Macaca mulatta: one gene and its partner. The protein of the gene in region 1 interacts with the protein of each later gene in a pairwise test. Links are inferred from orthologs where the notes say so. Each region holds a gene or a part of one and is shown in the gene's direction. Other genes may lie near its edges.

Region 1 (9,056 bases):
TTTTCCAGTTAAGAAGTTAATACAAGGTAATTATTTGGAAATGGGTTAAAGAGTTGTTCCTAGTTTATAGTCTTCCTTGTCTCTTGATGGAGACCTCAGTGGAAGCGTGGAGCTAGAAGGGAGAGAAACAGTCCCTCTTCAGACTAGGAAGCTGGGAAAATGCTTTTCACACAGTAATGTCTGGTGGGATTCCCACAAGTAAACCCCGAGGCCTCCACTCACCCACAATTGGCATTTTGTAACCTGCAGCTGGGGAGCTGTCCTGTGTATTGTAGGGAGCTTAGCAGCAGCCCTGGCGTCTTCCCACTGGATGCCAGTAAGTGCATCCTCCAAGTTGTAACAACCAAAAATATCTCCATATGTGGCTGATGTCCCCTGGGAGGTAGAACTGCCCCCGTGGAAAACCACTGTTGTCCTGGAAGATAAATGTTCCCAAATCCTTCTGTGTAAAACGGGGAGTGCATTTACCCTTAGGCCACATGAGTGGTCGGATTTTTTTTTTTTTTTTTTTTTGAGACGGAGTCTCACTCTTGTCAGGCTGGAGTGCAGTGATGCCATCTCAGCTCACTGTAACGTCTGCCTCCCGGGTTCAAGCAAATTCTCTTGCCTCAGCCTCCCAAGTAGCTGGGATTACAGGCGTGTGCCACCACACCCAGCTAATTTTTGTATTTTTAGTAAAGACAGGGTTTTAGCATGTTGGCCAGGATGGTCTCGATCTCCTGACCTTGTGATGCCCCTGCCTTGGCCTTTCAAAGTGCTAGGATTACAGATGTGAGCCACCGTGCCCAGCCCAGATTGTATTTTTAGAAACTACAGTTTTGGGTTTTTCAAACTTGGGCTGGGTGCAGTGGGTGCATACCTGTAAAACCAGCTATTTGAGTGGCTGGGATGGGAGGATTGCTTGAGCCCGGAAGTTCAAGGCTGCAGTGAGCTATAATCACACCACTGTACTTCAGCCTGGATCACAGGAAGACTCTGTCTCTTTTTTTTTTTTTTTTTTTTTTTTTTGAGACGGAGTCTCACTCTGTCACCCAGGCTGGAGTGCAGTGGCCGGATCTCAGCTCACTGCAAGCTCCGCCTCCCGGGTTCACGCCATTCTCCTGCCTCAGCCTCCCGAGTAGCTGGGACTACAGGCGCCTGCCACCTCGCCCGGCTAAGTTTTTGTATTTTTAGTAGAGACGGGGTTTCACCGTGTTAGCCAGAATAGTCTCGATCTCCTGACCTCGTAATCCGCCCGTCTCGGCCTCCCAAAGTGCTGGGATTACAGGCTTGAGTCACCGCGCCCGGCCGACTCTGTCTTTTAAAAGAAAAAAAGGGAGAAGCCAGACACGGTGGCTCACACCTATAATTCTAGCACTTTGGGAGGCTAAGGTGGGCAGATTGAGCTCAGGAGTTTGAGACCAATGGTGAAACCCCATCTCTATTAAAATACAAAATAGCTGGGCATGGTGGGGGACACCTGTAGTCCCAGCTACTTGGGAGGCCGAGGCAAGAGAATTGCTTGAACCCGGGAGGAAGAGGTTGCAGTGAGCCAAGGGTGTACCATTACACTCCAGCCTGGTGACAGAGTGAGACTGTCTCAAAACAAACAACCCCCCCCCCAAAAAAAAAAACAGGTTTTTATTTGGTCTATTACATGATGAAATAGTTAATAAAAAGATGAATTGGCATGGAAGTAAGTGAACATAGGTTCCTTGGGATGTTCACTCTCTAAAGTGTTTCTGCGTCCCTCCTAACGAGCCCGAATCCTGGCAGGCTCTGGGAGAACAGTCTGATTGATGAGAAAAGCCTAACAGAGCCTGGGGTGCTGAGGCCAGGAAAAAAACAAAACAAAACAAAAAACCCTGTCCACAAATATGTCTGTGTATTTTCTACTTGAGAACCAGATGCAGTTATCATCAAATGAGATTTTCACCCATTATAAATAAATTTGGAATATGAACTGGATCTGAAATCAAAAAATGTCTGTTGAAATTCTGGCAGTAGCTCTGCTAAAAGACTTGTCAGGATTTTGTTTTTGTTTTTTTTTGAGACGGAGTCTCGCTCTGTCGCCCAGGCTGGAGTGCAGTGGCCAGATCTCAGCTCACTGCAAGCTCCGCCTCCTGGGTTTACACCATTCTCCTGCCTCAGCCTCCTGAGTAGTTGGGACTATAGGTGCCCACCACCTCGCCCGGCTAGTTTTTGTATTTTTTAGTAGAGACGGGGTTTCACCGTGTTAGCCAGGATGGTCTTGATCTCCTGACCTCGTGATCCACCTGTCTCGGCCCCCCAAAGTGCTGGGATTACAGGCTTGAGCCACCGTACCCGGCCAGGATTTTGGTTTTTTTTAAATTAGGATGTTGAAGTGGGGCATGGTGACTCACGCCTGTAATCCCAGCACCTGGGTTCAAGCTGTTCTCCTGCCTCAGCTTCTCAAGTAGCTGGGATTACAGGCACGTACCACTACACCCAGCTATTTTGTATTTTTAGTAGAGACGGGGTTTCACCGTTTTGGTCTGTCTGGTCTCGAACTCCTGACCTTGTGACCTACCTGCCTTGGCCTCCCAAAGTGCTGGGATTACAGGTGTGAGCCACCACCCAGATAGACCCTTTTTAAACTTTAAAATTATCCCCCACGCCTGTGTCCCAACAAGTCAATAATTTTCAAGCTCATGAGTGGTTGTAACTTTAAACGTTCACTAAAGATGGCTTTCTCTTTGTTTCAGCCCGTCTGCCGTTTAAGCGCCTGAATCTTGTCCCAAAGGGGAAAGACGATGACATGTCAGATGATCAGGTTACTTCTGTGCAGAGTAAAAGCCCCGATTTGGAGGCCTCTTTGGACACCTTGGAAAACGACTGTCCTGTGGGTTCTGACATAGACTTTAGACCAAAACTTGTCAACGGGAAGGGTCCCTTAGATAACTTTTTAGGAAACAGAGTCGAAACCAGTGTTGGCCAGAGCACAGTCATCATTGATTTGACAGAGGACTCAAATGAGCAGCCAGACAGTCTTGTGGACCACAATAAACTGAGTTCTGAAGCTTCTCCCTCCAGGGAAGCAGTAAATGGCAACCGAGAAGACACTAGGGATCAGCAGGGGTCGTTGAAGGCCAATCAGAACGACAAGTTGGCATTTCCTGGAGAGACCCTTTCAAACATTCCTTACAAAACAGAGGAGGAGGGTGTTGGCTGTGGAGGTGCAGGGAGGAGAGGTGACTCCCAGGAATGTTCACCACAGAGCTGCCCGGAGCTGACGAGTGGTCTGAGACTGTGCTCCAGAAAGGAGCAGGACAGTTGGAGTGAAGCTGGGGGCATCCTGTTCAGAGGGAAGGTGCCCATGGTGGTCTTGCAGGACATCTTGGCTGTGAGACCGCCCCAAACCAAGTCCCCTCCAGCCACACCCCAAGGCAAGGACATGACCCCTGAGAGCGGGGCGCTGGAATCTTGCCCTGAAGAAGACTCTGTACTCAGCCATTCGTCCCTGAGCTCTCCCTCTTCCACCAGCTCTCCCGAGGGGCCGCCTGCTCCCACAAAGCGACACAGCAGCACCAGTCCCTTCCCCACCTCCACGCCCGTGCGCAGAGTGAGTATCTCCCATGGAGTCCCTACACATCAGTGCTCATGGATCTCAGAGCACGCTGTCAGTCTCCACCGGGTCACCCAGCTGGTCTGTGGCAGAGTGAGCGGGGCCACAGGCTGGGTCCTGGGACTCGACACGGAGTTCTTGTATCAAAACTCAGTGTTCGGTTCTGCATTCGTTGTGATGCGCCTGGGACTTAATTCATCAACAGTGTACCTGGTGTACTGTGTGGATAACACCCTGCTGTTTTGCTTCGTTGTTTACATCTAATTAGTGATAGCTTAGCCATTTTAGGGAATTAGGATCTGAGCTGGTGCTGTAACCCCTCACTTGAGATTCCAGGTCCAGCTCTCTCTGTGCCCCTCCCATCCAAGCATAGAACTGTAGGGACGGGGCTATGGAGGCATTGAGCACTGAAGTGGCAGTGAGACGGCAGGAAGCATGACATGGGGAATTCTGTAGAGTCAGCACAGCCACCCATCTAAAAAACCTCACCTGGGGCCAGGCGCAGTGGCTCATGGCTGTCATCCCAGCACTTTGGGAGGCCGAGGTGGGAGGATCGCTTGAAGATCAAAACCAACCTGGACAACAAAGACACCATCTCTACAAAAAAAAAAAATTATTTTTATTTTTTTGACAGAGCCACTCTATCACCCAGCCTCTGGAGTTCAGTGGCGTGATCTCTGCTCACTGCAACCTCCGCCTCCCAGGTTCAAGTGATTCTCCTGCCTCAGCCTCCCTAATAGCTGGGATTATAGGTGTGCGCTACCACACCTGGCTAATTTTTATATTTTTAGTGGAGACAGGGTTTCACTATCTTTGCCAGGCTAGTCTTGAATTCCTGACCTCAAGTGATCTGCCCATCTTGGCCTCCCAAAGTGCTGGAATTACAGGCATGAGCCACTGCACCCAGCCCTGCAAAAAAATTTTTTTTAATTATCCGGGCATGGTGGCACATGCCTGTAGTCCCAGCCACCTGGGAAGCCGAGGCAGGAGGATCACTTGAGCTGAGGAGGTGGAGGCTGCAGTGAGCTGTGATCACACCACTGTGCTCCAGCCTGGATGACAGAGTGAGACCCCATCTGGAACCATTTTTAAGGACCCCATAAGAGGGACTTTTGCATGGACTGTCTCTGTTACTGTTTTTTTATTAGCACGATGGTGTCCTTAGGATCTTATGGACCAAACTGATAAAATCAGTCACAAGTTCCATGCTGTGTTTAATGGTGTCTTTTTTTGGTTTATATATTTTTACTTTTTATCTTAAGTATGTAGAACCAGAAGAGACAGTGCCTTTTTTTTGTTTTTGGTTTTGTAGCACTTTTGTTTGTTCATGCTGGTTCTTTATAAGAGAGTAGATCCTGAGATGGGTCATTTAATCTCTACTTGTAAGCAGGTACAGTAGACCACCTGGACTATAAACCACCAACCTTGTTCGCTTTTGGGATTTTGAGCTCTAAGGAACAATTTCTTTTTCTTTCTTTCTTTTTTTTTTTTTTTTTTTTTTTTTGAGACGGAGTCTCGCTCTGTCGCCCAGACTGGAGTGCAGTGGCCGGATCTCAGCTCACTGCAAGCTCCGCCTCCCGGGTTTACGCTATTCTCCTGCCTCAGCCTCCCGAGTAGCTGGGACTACAGGCGCCCGCCACCGCGCCCGACTAGTTTTTTTTTTGTATTTTTAGTAGAGACGGGGTTTCACCGTGTTAGCCAGGATGGTCTCGATCTCCTGACCTCGTGATCCGCCTGTCTCGGCCTCCCAAAGTGCTGGGATTACAGGCTTGAGCCACCGCGCCCGGCCTCTTTTTTTTTTTTTTTTTTTTTTGAGACAGTCTTGCTTTGTCACCCAGGCTGGAGTGCAGTGGCGCCATCTAAGCTCACTGCAACCTCCGCCTCCTGGGTTCAAGCAATTCTGCCTCAGCCTCTCAAGTAGCTGGGATTAGAGGCACCCGCCACCAGGCTCAGCTAATTTTTGTATTTTTAGTAGAGATGGAGTTTTGCCATGATGGCCAGGCTGGTCTTGAACTCCTGACCTCAGGTGAGGGGAGGCCTTGGCCTCCCAAAATGCTGGGATCACAGGCTTGGCCGGGACCATTTATTTTTCCGAACGACATCATTTCTTGTCTTTCACTTGAGAAGAGGCAAAAGGAAAAAATGACTTCCTCTTTAGGTTCATGAAATGTTGATTAAAAAATGGAGCAAATTTTTTTTTTTTTTTTAGACATGGTCTCACCCTGTCGCCCAGGCTGGAGTGCAGTGGCATGATGTCAGCTTACTGCAACCTCCACCTTCTGGGTTCGAGAGATTTTCCTGCCTTAGCCTCTGAGTAGCTGGGATTACAGGTGCCCACCACCATGCCTGGCTAATTTTTGTATTTTTTTGAGTAGAGAACAGGTTTCACCACGTTGGCCAGGCTGGTCTCAAACTTCTGACCTCAAGTGATCCGCTCGCCTTGGCCTCCCAAAGTACTGGGATTACAGGCATAAGCCACTGCCCCGGTCTTCTTTTTTTGTGTGTGCTGGTTTGTTATATAGGTAAACTCTTGTCATGGGGGTTTGTTGTACAGATTATTTCATCACTCAGGTACTAAGCCTAGTACCCTTTTCTAAGATGCTAAATGTGACAGACTGGGATGTACACATTTCAACTTCTACCTAAGGCACCACACAGTCTCCCAAAATCAGAGTTGAAGTCATTCCCCATTGGCCATCCTGTAGTGTACATTCGATCACTTTAATTTCTTCCAGGCTGCTGCCGCTTTGCAGAATTTCGTCCTGTGGTGTGTTGCAGCCGTTTAGCAAGAACAGGACACATGGCCGGGCACGGTGGCTCACACCTGTAATCCCAGCACTTAGGGAGGCCGAGGTGGGTGGATCACCTGAGGTCGGAAGTTCGAGACCAGGCTGACCAACATAGAGAAACCCTGTCTCTACTAAAAATACAAAAAAGTAGCTGGGTGTGGTGGTGTGTGCCTGAAATCCCAGCTACGCTGGAGGCTGAGGCAGGAGAATCGCTTGAACCCAGGAGGCAGAGGTTGCGGTGACCTGAGATCGCGCCACTGCACTCCAGTCTGGGTAACGAGCAAAACTCCGTCTCAGGAAAAAAAATTAAAAAAAAGAACAGGGCCGGGCGCGGTGGCTCAAGCCTGTAATCCCAGCACTTTGGGAGGCCGAGACGGGCGGATCATGAGGTCAGGAGATCGAGACCATCCTGGCTAACACAGTGAAACCCCGTCTCTACTAAAAATACAAAAACTTAGCCGGGCGAGGTGGCAGGCGCCTGTAGTCCCAGCTACTCGGGAGGCTGAGGCAGGAGAATGGCGTGAACCCGGGAGGCGGAGCTTGCAGTGAGCTGAGATCCGGCCACTGCACTCCAGCCTGGGTGACAGAGCGAGACTCCGTCTCAAAAAAAAAAAAAAAAAAAAAAAAAAAAAGGACAGGACACAAGCACATGTTTCCATTAAGTTTGTTTCCATGTCCACAGCCTAGTCTGCAAACTGGGAAGTCCCCTCGTTGGTCATCATGGTGACACATCCTACCTGCTTTCTAAAACAGCTGAGCACATGAACCCAGTGTGCGACATTTAGGAAACCCTGCATTTAGGATGCTAGGTCTTGTTCTGAACACAGGCTCGAGGTTTTGGAATGCACTCGAAGGCAGTATTACCCCAACTCTTCAGATAATTTGCAAGTGGTAAAGGCTTCAAGCTGGCCCAGAGCCTATGGCAGAAAGCGGCCACAACCACTCCCAGAGGGCCTGTCAGTCACCGAAGCTATGAGGGAAGCGATTATCAGGAGGCCTCCGCATGCCCTGATGGCAGGGCTCCCTGAGATCCCAGCTGGAAGAGACTTCACCCCCAACCCCTAAGTTATCTCTGTACCTTTGAGGAGTCCTGCATTTTTGGGTTGGTTGATTTGCTTCATGCTTGGTACCTAACTGTTTTTTTTTTTTTTTAATTTATTTTAATTTATTTTTTTGAGACAAAGTCTCACTCTGTTGCCCAGGCTGGAGTGCAATGGTGTGATCTCGGCTCCTGCAACCTCTGCCTCCTGGGTTCAAGTGATTCTCGTGTCTCAGCCTCCCAAGTAGCTAGGATTACAGGCATGTGCCACCAGGCCTGGCTAATTTTTGTATTTTTAGTAAAGACGGGGTTTCACGACGTTGGTCAGGCTGGTCTCGAACTCCTGACCTCGTGATCCACCAACCTCAGCTTCCCAAAGTGCTGGGATTACAGGCATGAGCCACCGTGCTGGCCAGTTGGTACCTAACTCTTAATACCTTTCCTTGCCATGAGGTCCGAGCCACCCCCTGCCGACAACCCCTGTTACTCTGGGGAATACATTGTTTTCACACTTTCCCTCCCCACCAGCAGCTCTTTCCAGATTGCAAGGGCGAGCTGGTAGGAAGCTTGCAGATTGTTTCGTGCTGCTGTGTAATCTGTGTGCTTGTCACTGGGGTCTGTTCTTCGTGGAGTTGGTACAGTGAAATCTGCATTGAGCCCCGGGGCAGCCATTGCCACTGTACTTTGTGGGCTGGCTTGCCTTCTTTTTTCCTTCTTTAAAAGAAAATGGGAGTTTGTTTCTATACAGATCCTGCTGTCCTTTTTCAGGGAGCTTCAGGGCGTGTTTTTGTTTTGGTTTTTGTTGTTTTAGTACTGCAGGATCTGAAGAATCTCACTTTGGAAAACAATGATTTAGAAAGATCCGTCCTTTGAATGGCTGAAGTGTTCCTTTTTAGTATTAAGAGTTTTCTACCCTGTGGGAAAGAACCATTTCTGAAGTTTGTTTGCAATCAGACTTGTAATTTAGCCTTTTCTGTTAGTGATCGAGATGATTATTCCACAAATGATCATGTTGGTGCAGTTGTATTCCTGGAATCTTTGGCTTGCCTCTCTTCTGAGATTGCTGGAACTTCTTTCCATATACTTGAACTTACATTTGTAATAAATTCTCCATGTTTAAAAGAAATAATGGTCCAGGTGTGGTGGCTCATGCCTGTAATCCCAGCACTTTGGGAAGCCGAGGTGGGAGGATCGCTTGAACCTAGGAGTTCAAAACTGGCTTGACCAACATGGTGAAACCCTGTCTGTATAAAAAATACAAAAATTAACAGGGTGGTGGTATGCACCTGAAGTCCCAGCTCCTTGGGAGGCTGAGGTGGAAGGATCACTTGAGCCAAGTAGGCAGAGGTTGCAGTGAGTCATGATTGCACTACGCTCCAGCCTGGGCAACAGTCAGACCCTGTCTCAAAAAAACAAAAAGGAAAGAAAGAATGGAAACCTCGCAGCCCTCTGTTCTCCCAGGAGGTTGCCATTATTATCATCATCATCATTTTGTATTTTTCTGTGTCCTGCATATCCAGAGAGATCTCTAGGAAACACCCAGTATCATTTTGTTTCCTTGTGTATAACATATACTGTAAATATCTGTCTTTGTTACTCAGGGGTGTCTTAGATGTTTTTTATGTTAGGATGGAAAGATCGAACTCTCTGTTGCGTGATATCC
Region 2 (9,056 bases), on another chromosome or scaffold:
TACGCAGCACGTATTCAGTGTGGTGACACCGCCCACGCGTGCTCCTGTCTCCCACCCAGAGCTGTCCTCCACTGTGGACGCCAGGCCCCGCCTTTTCCCAACAAGCCCCACGTTGGGGATTCGCCTCCTGCAGGGGCGCGCCCTCCCGCGTGCCTCAGTTTACCTGCGGTGCGTCACCGCCCCTTTCCCCGCCCCGCGCGCTCCAGCACCTGTTCGGCGGGGAGGAGGGAGCGGGACACGACCGCCCTGGGGCTAATGTTCGGAGGGACCGGCGAGCACAAGATAGACCCCAGCGAGAGATGGGAGAAGAGAGCGCCGGCTGGGTCAGGGAGTGCGCAGGCCCGAAGCAGCTTCCTCGCCGCTGTGGGTATCCGCCTCGGAGACCGCGGGAGGGAAGGGAGGGCGCAGGCGCAAGCCCTCCCCGACGACTTCCCTTCAGTTTGAGACTGGAGAGCGCATGCGCAAGCTAGATGGTCAGCGAGCACAGCCCCGACTGCAGGTCCCTCCTTCGATGGGGCACGAGCTGTCGTTGAACGTCAGCACGCAGATGCAACTGGTTTTCGGCAGGGTGGCGCGCGCCCCGCTGCAGAGCGCCAGCCCGCAGGCGCGGGACCCTCCCTATTAAGGGCACGCGACGTCGAGGCAATAGCGCGCAGGTGCTTAGCCAGAGGCGGAGCCCGAGAGGAAGGCAGCGGACTTCCGGTTCCGGGAGCAACGAACAGCCGCGGAGGCGACAGCTACCGCTTCAGAGGAGGCGGCCGCGGAGGAGGAAGAAGGGGAGGAGGGCGAGGCGGGAGGCGCAGGAGGGACCCTCGCCATGGGTCCACGGGCCTAGAGTGGCGGAAGATACCAGCCTGGTGCCAAACTGGTGAGACAGCCTTGGGGCTGGACGTGGAGAGTGCTCAGGCGGAGGATAGGAAGGAATTGTGGCTGAGAACGCTGACGGGGAGGAATCAAGGGCCCTCAGGCCGATGAGGGGGAGGAATGGCGGCGTCGGAATACTGACGAGGAGAAACGGGGGAATTTAGGCTGAGGACAGGAAGGAATGGAGCTCAGAACTCTGACAGGTAGGAGTGTCGGGATCCTGGGACGAGGACGGAGAGGAATGGTGGAGATCAGAACGCTAAAGGGAGACATCAGGGCATCTGAAGTTGAGAGAGAAATGGGGGTTCAGAACTCCGAGCGGGAGAAATGAGGGGCCCTCAGGCTGATGACAGGAGAAATGGAGGCGTTGGAATGCTGAAAGGGAGGAATGGGAGGCCCCATATAGAGGACGAGGAGCAGTAGGGGATCAGAACGCTGACAGTTAGGGATGGCATGATCCCAGGACAAGAACAGAGAATGGGGGAGGGTTCGGAATGCTGAGGGGAGAAATTAGGGTCTCTCAGGATAAGGGAGGAATGGAGAATGAGAACAGTGAGAGGGAGAAGTGGGGAACTTTTTGGATGTAGAGGAGAGAAACAGGAAGGTTTGGGGGCTGAGACTGGGGAGAAATTGTGGGCCAGAACATTGAAGGAGAAGAAAAATAAGGGGGGAGCTCTTGGCTGAGGAAGGGGAGGCATGGGAGGCTTCCAGTGTGTGAGAAATGGAAAAGATGAGGGGCTGTTCGGGTCATGGGTTGGAGCAGTTGTGTCTCGCAGAGGAAGTCGAGGTTGTAACACTGAGGTAGCAAGATAAGAGGACATCAGGCAGAGACGGAATGGAATGGTTAAAACACTGAAGGAAGGAAATTAGGAACTCCTGGGTCGGGGAAGGGGGGAATGAGAGACTACTGAAGCCAAGTAGTGAGGGCAAGAGAAATGGGGCCCTTTGGGGCTGAGGATGGGAAGTATGGGGGTCTTGTGGTGATAAAATAGAGGGATAGAGGCCCTTAGGTCAGTGACAGGGAGGAATGAGGGGGGAAGATGAAAAGTTTCTGGATTGGCAGTGAGGAGAAATGATGGGCTGTCAGTCTGAGGATAGAGAGGAGTAGGGGATTAGGACACTAAGAATAATAAACAGGGATCCTTGGGTTGAGGAATGAGGATCTCCTAGGCCCAGAATAGGAAAGAATGGGGTGAGAATATGAGGGGTTTCTTCTCCATATATGGGCTGGTTGCCTGCGGCAGGTCCTAGGTCTTGGGCAAGCACTAATGGATACCAGTGATTTGTGTGGCCTGGGGCACATTTTGTCCCTTCCTAGAGCCTCAGTTTCCCTCATCCCCTCAACCCCCTTTCAGGCTACTGCTGCTTTCTGTGGCCTCCATGGCTGAGGACTGGCTGGACTGCCCGGCCCTGGGCCCTGGCTGGAAGCGCCGTGAAGTCTTTCGCAAGTCAGGGGCCACCTGTGGACGCTCAGACACCTATTACCAGAGGTACTGGGTGGGTTGTGGGCAGAGTGGGGGTGGGGTAGAGCCTCATTAGGGTAAAATCAAATAGTGCGGTTAAATTTATGGATGGAGTTTAAATTATGCACAGTTAATCGTTATTAGCGGATTTTGTGTTTGCAATTTCACCTACTTAATACAGTATTTGTAACTTAAAAGTCACTACTCACAGTGCATTTGTGATTATTGAAGGACATGCACAGAGCAGTGAAAAACTGTCACTCAATGCATGTGTTTCTAGCTGAGACTGAAGGAGCCCTTTTTATTTCAGCTTTAATACTGTAAACAAGTGTCCTTTTCGTGGTCTGTTTAGTGTCACATTTTTCTAATTTTTGTATGTTTTGTTGGTGATTTTGCTTTTTAAAATAGTCCTCAAGCGTAGTGCTGAGGTGCTGTTTAGTGTTCTGAGTGTGAGAAGGCCATGTCGTGCCTTACGGAGAAAATACAAGGCAGATAAACCTTGTTGGTTATCTGAGTTACAATGCTGTTGGCTGTAAGTTCAATGTTATGCATCAGAATTATGGTACAACCAGAAAAAGAAGGAAATTTGCCAATATGTGCACAAGGCTGCTTCAGAAAATACAGAAAGCATTTATAGTCTTGAAGCTATGGAAGAGATGAGAAAGCAGCTACGTTGGTGGATTCATGAAATGACGATCAATAAAGCATAGTGGACAGCATTGTTGAGGAAAGCCAAAGTCACGTTACCCTGGGTTAGGAAAATATTAAGGTTGTATCAGCTAGTGCTGGCTGACTTGCACATTTCAAAAGGCAACATGGCATGAAAAATGTTAAACTTGCATGCAATGCAGGTTCTCCCGATCAGGAGTCTTCCGAAGAATTTTAAAAATACCTTTTAAGTGTTTTATAGGAAAGGGGTTGTGTAGAAGAGTGGTTTTCAATGCCAATGGGATTGGCTTGTTAAACAAAAATATTAGCAAACAAACCTACAGAACACATATGGCCTCCAAAGCCCCTGGTTTGAGTCATTCAAAGACCATGCAAATAATCATTTGTAAAAAATATATATTAAGTAATGTGTATTTAAACAGAAACACGCACAAAACAGAAGTTCAGATGCTCTCAGGAACCTAACCCTGTATTTCCTCTAGGAGCAATGGTTTTGTATTCAGTGTTCATGGCAACTTTGTAGAACATACCTACCATAACTAATGAGAATCAGCATAGATGTTTATAAGCATTTACATGTGTTTAGGCTACATTAATTATTATGTTTCTATATTCGTTCTGATTTTTTAAATCTAAGTTGCAGTTTTCCAGGTAAATATCAAATTACAAATTACTTTTTGTTTGTATTTAGTTATAATTTATTCACATATTTATGTACTCGTATAAAACTTTCAAAACTTAAAAGTGCAGTTGTCAGGAACTACGAAGGATCTGAGATTTCATTCTTAGGACAAGATAATAGTGAATTTGTCAGAATTTTGTAGATGTTGGTAGGAGAGGTAAGACTCCTGGGTTACAGGTCAAAGACAGTTTATTATAACAGTTGCAGGATCCAGAATAAGTCTCCCCCTTATCTGCAATTTCATTTTCCACAGCTTTAGTTACCTACAGTCAACCACCATCCAAAAATATTAAATGGAAAATTTTAGAAATAAACAATTCATTAGTTTTGAATTGTGTGCCGTTTTGAGTGGCGTGATGAAATCTCACACCATCCTGCTCAGTCCTGCTCAGGAGGTGAATCATCTCTTTGTCCATATCCATATCCATATCCATATCCATGTTCTATACACAACCTGCCTGTTAGTCGCTTAGTAACCATCTCAGTTATCAGGTAGAAAAAAACACAGTACATATTACATTAGGGTTTGGTACTATCCACGGTTTCAGGCATCCACTGGGGAACTTGGGATGTATACCCTGACGAGAGGGGGAATTACTGTATTACTATTTTTGTGCCAGTTTCCTGAATCCCAATTCCTACAGCATGACATGAAGAGGGTTGTATTATTATAGGAAAAGAACCCTGAGCTTAGAGAATCAAGTTTTTTTAATAACGTTAGGACACTAAGTATGCTTTCCTTTTACTATGGAAGGAGACCCTATCTCTTATCTTCCAAGGTTGTTTGCTTTACAAACATCCTTGGAAAGATAGTTTATCAAAAAGAATAATCGGTGTCTCTCTTGCAGGGCGTACAGAAATGCAAGAAACCAGGGGTCCCAAAATCAATTACTTATACTTTAATTTGTGTGTAGTTGTATTTGTTTGTGTGTTTTTAAAACATATTTGTGTTGTTTTCTTTGCTTGATTATATACTGGGTACATAATGCTAACTTATTTATTTATTTATTTATATTTTGAGATAGAGTCTCGCTCTGTCGCCCAGGCTGGAGTACAGTGGTGCAATCTCGGCTTACTGCAAACTCCGCCTCCCGGGTTCAAGCCATTCTCCTGCCTCAGCCTCCCGAGTAGCTGGGACTACAGGCACTCGCCGCCATGCGTGGCTAATTTTTTTTTGTATTTTTAGTAGAGATGGGGTTTCACCATGTTAGCCAGGATGGTCTTGATCTCCTGACCTCGTGATCCGCCCGCCTTGGCCTCCCAAGGTGCTGGGATTACAAGTGTGAGCCATCGCACCTGGCCAGTGCTAACATATTTATATGTTATTTAATATATTTGTGTTTCTATTTGTGTCTATTTTTACTTATGTGAAATAGTTCCAGTATTACTAGTATTATATGTTATAAATATATTTGTCTGTTTACATTTGTATTGTTTCTGATGTTTGTATTTGTGTTGGTATTTATATTAATTTTTTATGTTTTCAAGGTTAGTTGAGGTGGGGCTGGGCAGGGCTCACAGGCCAATTCCAGGCTGCCTCCTGTATCCTGCCAGCCCTGTCGGAAGGTTGTGTGGGTGAAATGACATTGGCTCCACTTGGGTGCTAACCCATCATGGCCCATCCCTAGCCCCACAGGAGACAGGATCCGAAGCAAAGTTGAGCTGACTCGATACCTGGGCCCTGCGTGTGATCTCACCCTCTTCGACTTCAAACAAGGCATCTTGTGCTATCCAGCCCCCAAGGTACTTTACAATGTGAGATGCCTAGGTAGGGGTGGCTGTGCCACTCAGCACCCACCCACTGACCCATATGCCTCCTTTCCTTACTTTCCAGGCCCATCCTGTGGCTGTTGCCAGCAAGAAGCGAAAGAAGCCTTCAAAGCCAGCCAAGACTCGGAAACGTCAGGTTGGACCCCAGAGTGGTGAGGTCAGGAAGGAGGCCCCAAGGGACGAGACCAAGGCTGACACTGACACAGCCCCAGCTTCATTCCCTGCTCCTGGGTGAGTGTTGGTTTGAGGTGAGCCAGATGGGTGAGGGTTGTGATTGGGGGTGCTCTTGGAGCCCCTCACCTGCCTTTCCCATCCCAGATGCTGTGAGAACTGTGGAATCAGCTTCTCAGGGGATGGCACCCAAAGGCAGCGGCTCAAAACATTGTGCAAAGACTGTCGAGGTGAGTGACCCCCAGAGGATGGGGCATCGGGAGATAGGAGCTAGAGCAGGTTCAGTGTCATGCTAGGCTGGGGGTTGAATGTAGATGTCAGGACAGAGGCTACTGGCATGGTTGGAGGTTGGATACTGGAGATAGCAGGCATGGGTAGAGGTTGAATAGTGGAAGTCAGGGCACAGGCAGTGAGTGAATCAGTCAGATGTCTGTTGCTTTCTTTCCACTTTTCTTCTTCCCTCTTCCTCCCCACAGCACAGAGAATTGCCTTCAACCGAGAACAGAGAATGTTTAAGGTAAGCACAACCTGCTTTCTCTTCACACCTCTGCAGTGGGAGCAGGATGTGATTGAGCTGGTAGAGTCCTAAGGGATGATGATAGGTCCACAGGATGAAGTCATTTTATAGGGTGCTCTCCATAGGTCAGCAAACACAGTAATGGGAATCAATGGGTTAATTAATTCCCGTTACCATTAGTGCATCAGTAGACACAGTGATGAAGTTAGCAAGGGACCAGTAGACATACTAATGGCCTCAGTGATGAGGCTTACGGGCGACTAGAAGTCCCGGTGATGGGAGCTGATGTAGGGTCAGTAGACATGGGAGGACCAGTGCTTCTGGAGCAGGCCCGTGATCTCGTCCCTACCATTCCTGGCAGCGTGTGGGCTGTGGGGAGTGTGCAGCCTGCCAGGTAACAGAAGACTGTGGGGCCTGCTCCACGTGCCTCCTGCAGCTGCCCCATGATGTGGCATCGGGGCTGTTCTGCAAGTGTGAACGGAGACGCTGCCTCCGGATTGTGGAAAGGGTGAGTCGGGCAAGTGGAAAGAGCCCAAGGCTCACCTCGGCCCCTGGCCCTCGTGGGCTTGGCCCCATGCTTCATGCCTCTGCTCCCACATCCCCTCCAACAGAGCCGAGGGTGTGGAGTATGCCGGGGCTGTCAGACCCAAGAGGACTGTGGCCGTTGTCCCATCTGCCTTCGCCCTCCCCGCCCTGGTCTCAGGCGCCAGTGGAAATGTGTCCAGCGACGTTGCCTACGGGTGAGTCGGGCTGGAGGGAGCAGAGCTCACTCTGCTGTTAAAATCGTCGCTGCCTCTGCTTCCTTTCAACCTGGCCTTGCCTACCTTATGTCTTTCTTTTCTGCCTAACCCCACGCTCACCTTTCTGGCCCCGCCTGCCTGCCCCTGTCTGCCAGCACCTTGCTCACCGCCTGCGTCGCCGTCATCAGAGATGTCAGCGACGCACTCCCCTGGCTGTGGCTCCCCCAACTGTGAGTGCCTCATGCCACCCTCTGTCTGCCTGTCCCATGCATGCTTTCTGCACTTAGGGAGTGGGGAGTTCCTGTGTCTGCCTGGTGCCACCAAGCTGAAACCACCCTTTCTGGTCTTTCCCAGGGTAAACATGCCCGCCGCAAGGGAGGCTGTGACTCCAAGATGGCTGCCAGGAGGCGCCCCGGAGCCCAGCCACTGCCTCCACCTTCCCCATCACAGTCCCCAGAGCCCACAGAGCCGGTGAGGCCCCAGTGGGTGGAGGGAAGGCACAACCCTGACCTTACCCAGTACCTGCCCTGACCCCACCCCATTTGCCTCTACAGCACCCCAGAGCCCTGGCCCCCTCGCCACCTGCCGAATTCATCTATTACTGTGTAGACGAGGACGAGCTAGTGAGTGGCCCTACCCTACCTGGATAAGCCTAGACTCTCAGGACGCTTGGTTAACTTCAAAGAAGCAGATGCTGGAATGAGCCTATTGGGGAACAGCAAGGCACAATAATGGGTCCTAGGATGGGATGAGTAGATAATGGAGGACTAATACAGGGTCAGCAGGTGCAATGACAGTGCCTCATGTCACATGTATCAACACTCTGGTGGCTGATGCAGGACTAATCGACACAGTGATGGGATTGACAGAGGAGCAGCTAGCACAATGACTGGGGTTCACACAGGATGAGCAGACAGAGTAGGCACAGTGATGGGAGCTAATAGAGAGTTATCAAAATGTTGCTGGAAATGGGGGTTAGAGACATTTTCTTGGTAGCCATTGGTGGCCTAGGAAATACAGCACTGGATATTGTAGTGGAGCAGCCACAGTCCTAATGGTATCGAGGGCCAGCTGGCACAGCGATAGTGGCCAATGTTGAACTAGCAAATGCTGAGGAGTGACTAGCTGGGAGTCAGGAGGCTGAGACTAGTATGCAAGTAGCTCCTTCTTATGGGGCTAGAGGAGCACCAGGACCAGCACTGGAATAGGCGTTGAGGATGGCCTCTCCTAGTCCTAGTTGACAGCACCACCCATTCCCCCCACCCCAGCAGCCCTACACGAACCGCCGGCAGAACCGCAAGTGCGGGGCCTGTGCAGCCTGCCTACGGCGGATGGACTGTGGCCGCTGCGACTTCTGCTGCGACAAGCCCAAATTCGGGGGCAGCAACCAGAAGCGCCAGAAGTGTCGTTGGCGCCAATGCCTGCAGTTTGCCATGGTGGGTGGGGCAGGAAGGGTCAGGTGGCCGGGATAGGTTGGGCCAGGCGCCCCAGTGCCTGGGAGTGGTGGGCAGGCTTGGTAGGTGGGTGGGTGGCGCAGTAGCTTTGGTTGAGGATTAACAGACATTGTGCTTGGCTTAATGAGTCTAGGTGGCATTGGTGTTGCTAATAGGAGACTAGCAGGCTCAATGACGAAGGGCTCATACGTAAGCAGATTCCATGCTGGGACCGATGGGAGATTAGCAGGCATGTGGAGCCGGGCAGGGTGGATGTGACTGGTCAGGACACCAGGTAGCCATAGCACCCTATCTTTCCTCATAGAAGCGGCTGCTGCCCAGTGTCTGGTCAGAGTCTGAGGATGGGGCAGGATCGCCCCCACCTTACCATCGTCGAAAGAGGCCCAGCTCTGCCCGACGTCACCATCTTGGGCCTACCTTGAAGCCCACCTTGGCTACACGCACAGCCCAACCAGACCATACCCAGGCTCCAACGAAGCAGGAAGCAGGTGGTGGCTTTGTGCTGCCTCCGCCTGGCACTGACCTTGTGTTTTTACGGGAGGGCGCAAGCAGTCCTGTGCAGGTGCCAGGCCCTGTTGCAGCTTCCACAGAAGCCCTGTTGCAGGTGAGGGCCCCACCCTGTCCTTCCCTTCCCAGCCCCACCCAGCCTCATGCCAGGGAGCTGAGACCAAGTCTGCTGCAATCCTCCCTCACGCAGGAGGCCCAGTGCTCTGGCCTGAGTTGGGT

Evidence for each region.
Region 2: the proteins of CHAF1A (region 1) and MBD1 interact in binary tests that used the Homo sapiens proteins (3 or more experiments, as listed by UniProt). The link is inferred for Macaca mulatta from reciprocal best matches to the Homo sapiens genes CHAF1A and MBD1.

The regions. Positions count from the first base shown.
Region 1 is NC_133424.1:5,238,060-5,247,115, forward strand, and holds part of CHAF1A (chromatin assembly factor 1 subunit A), read left to right. Parts: coding exon 1-26; intron 27-2,705; coding exon 2,706-3,562; intron 3,563-9,056. UniProt on the Homo sapiens protein: Acts as a component of the histone chaperone complex chromatin assembly factor 1 (CAF-1), which assembles histone octamers onto DNA during replication and repair.
Region 2 is NC_133423.1:42,023,436-42,032,491, forward strand, and holds the start of MBD1 (methyl-CpG-binding domain protein 1), read left to right. Parts: upstream 1-707; 5' UTR 708-868; intron 869-2,219; 5' UTR 2,220-2,244; coding exon 2,245-2,354; intron 2,355-5,306; coding exon 5,307-5,421; intron 5,422-5,512; coding exon 5,513-5,679; intron 5,680-5,766; coding exon 5,767-5,849; intron 5,850-6,095; coding exon 6,096-6,136; intron 6,137-6,497; coding exon 6,498-6,644; intron 6,645-6,747; coding exon 6,748-6,876; intron 6,877-7,230; coding exon 7,231-7,347; intron 7,348-7,430; coding exon 7,431-7,499; intron 7,500-8,144; coding exon 8,145-8,312; intron 8,313-8,634; coding exon 8,635-8,934; intron 8,935-9,027; coding exon 9,028-9,056. UniProt on the Homo sapiens protein: Transcriptional repressor that binds CpG islands in promoters where the DNA is methylated at position 5 of cytosine within CpG dinucleotides. Binding is abolished by the presence of 7-mG that is produced by DNA damage by methylmethanesulfonate (MMS).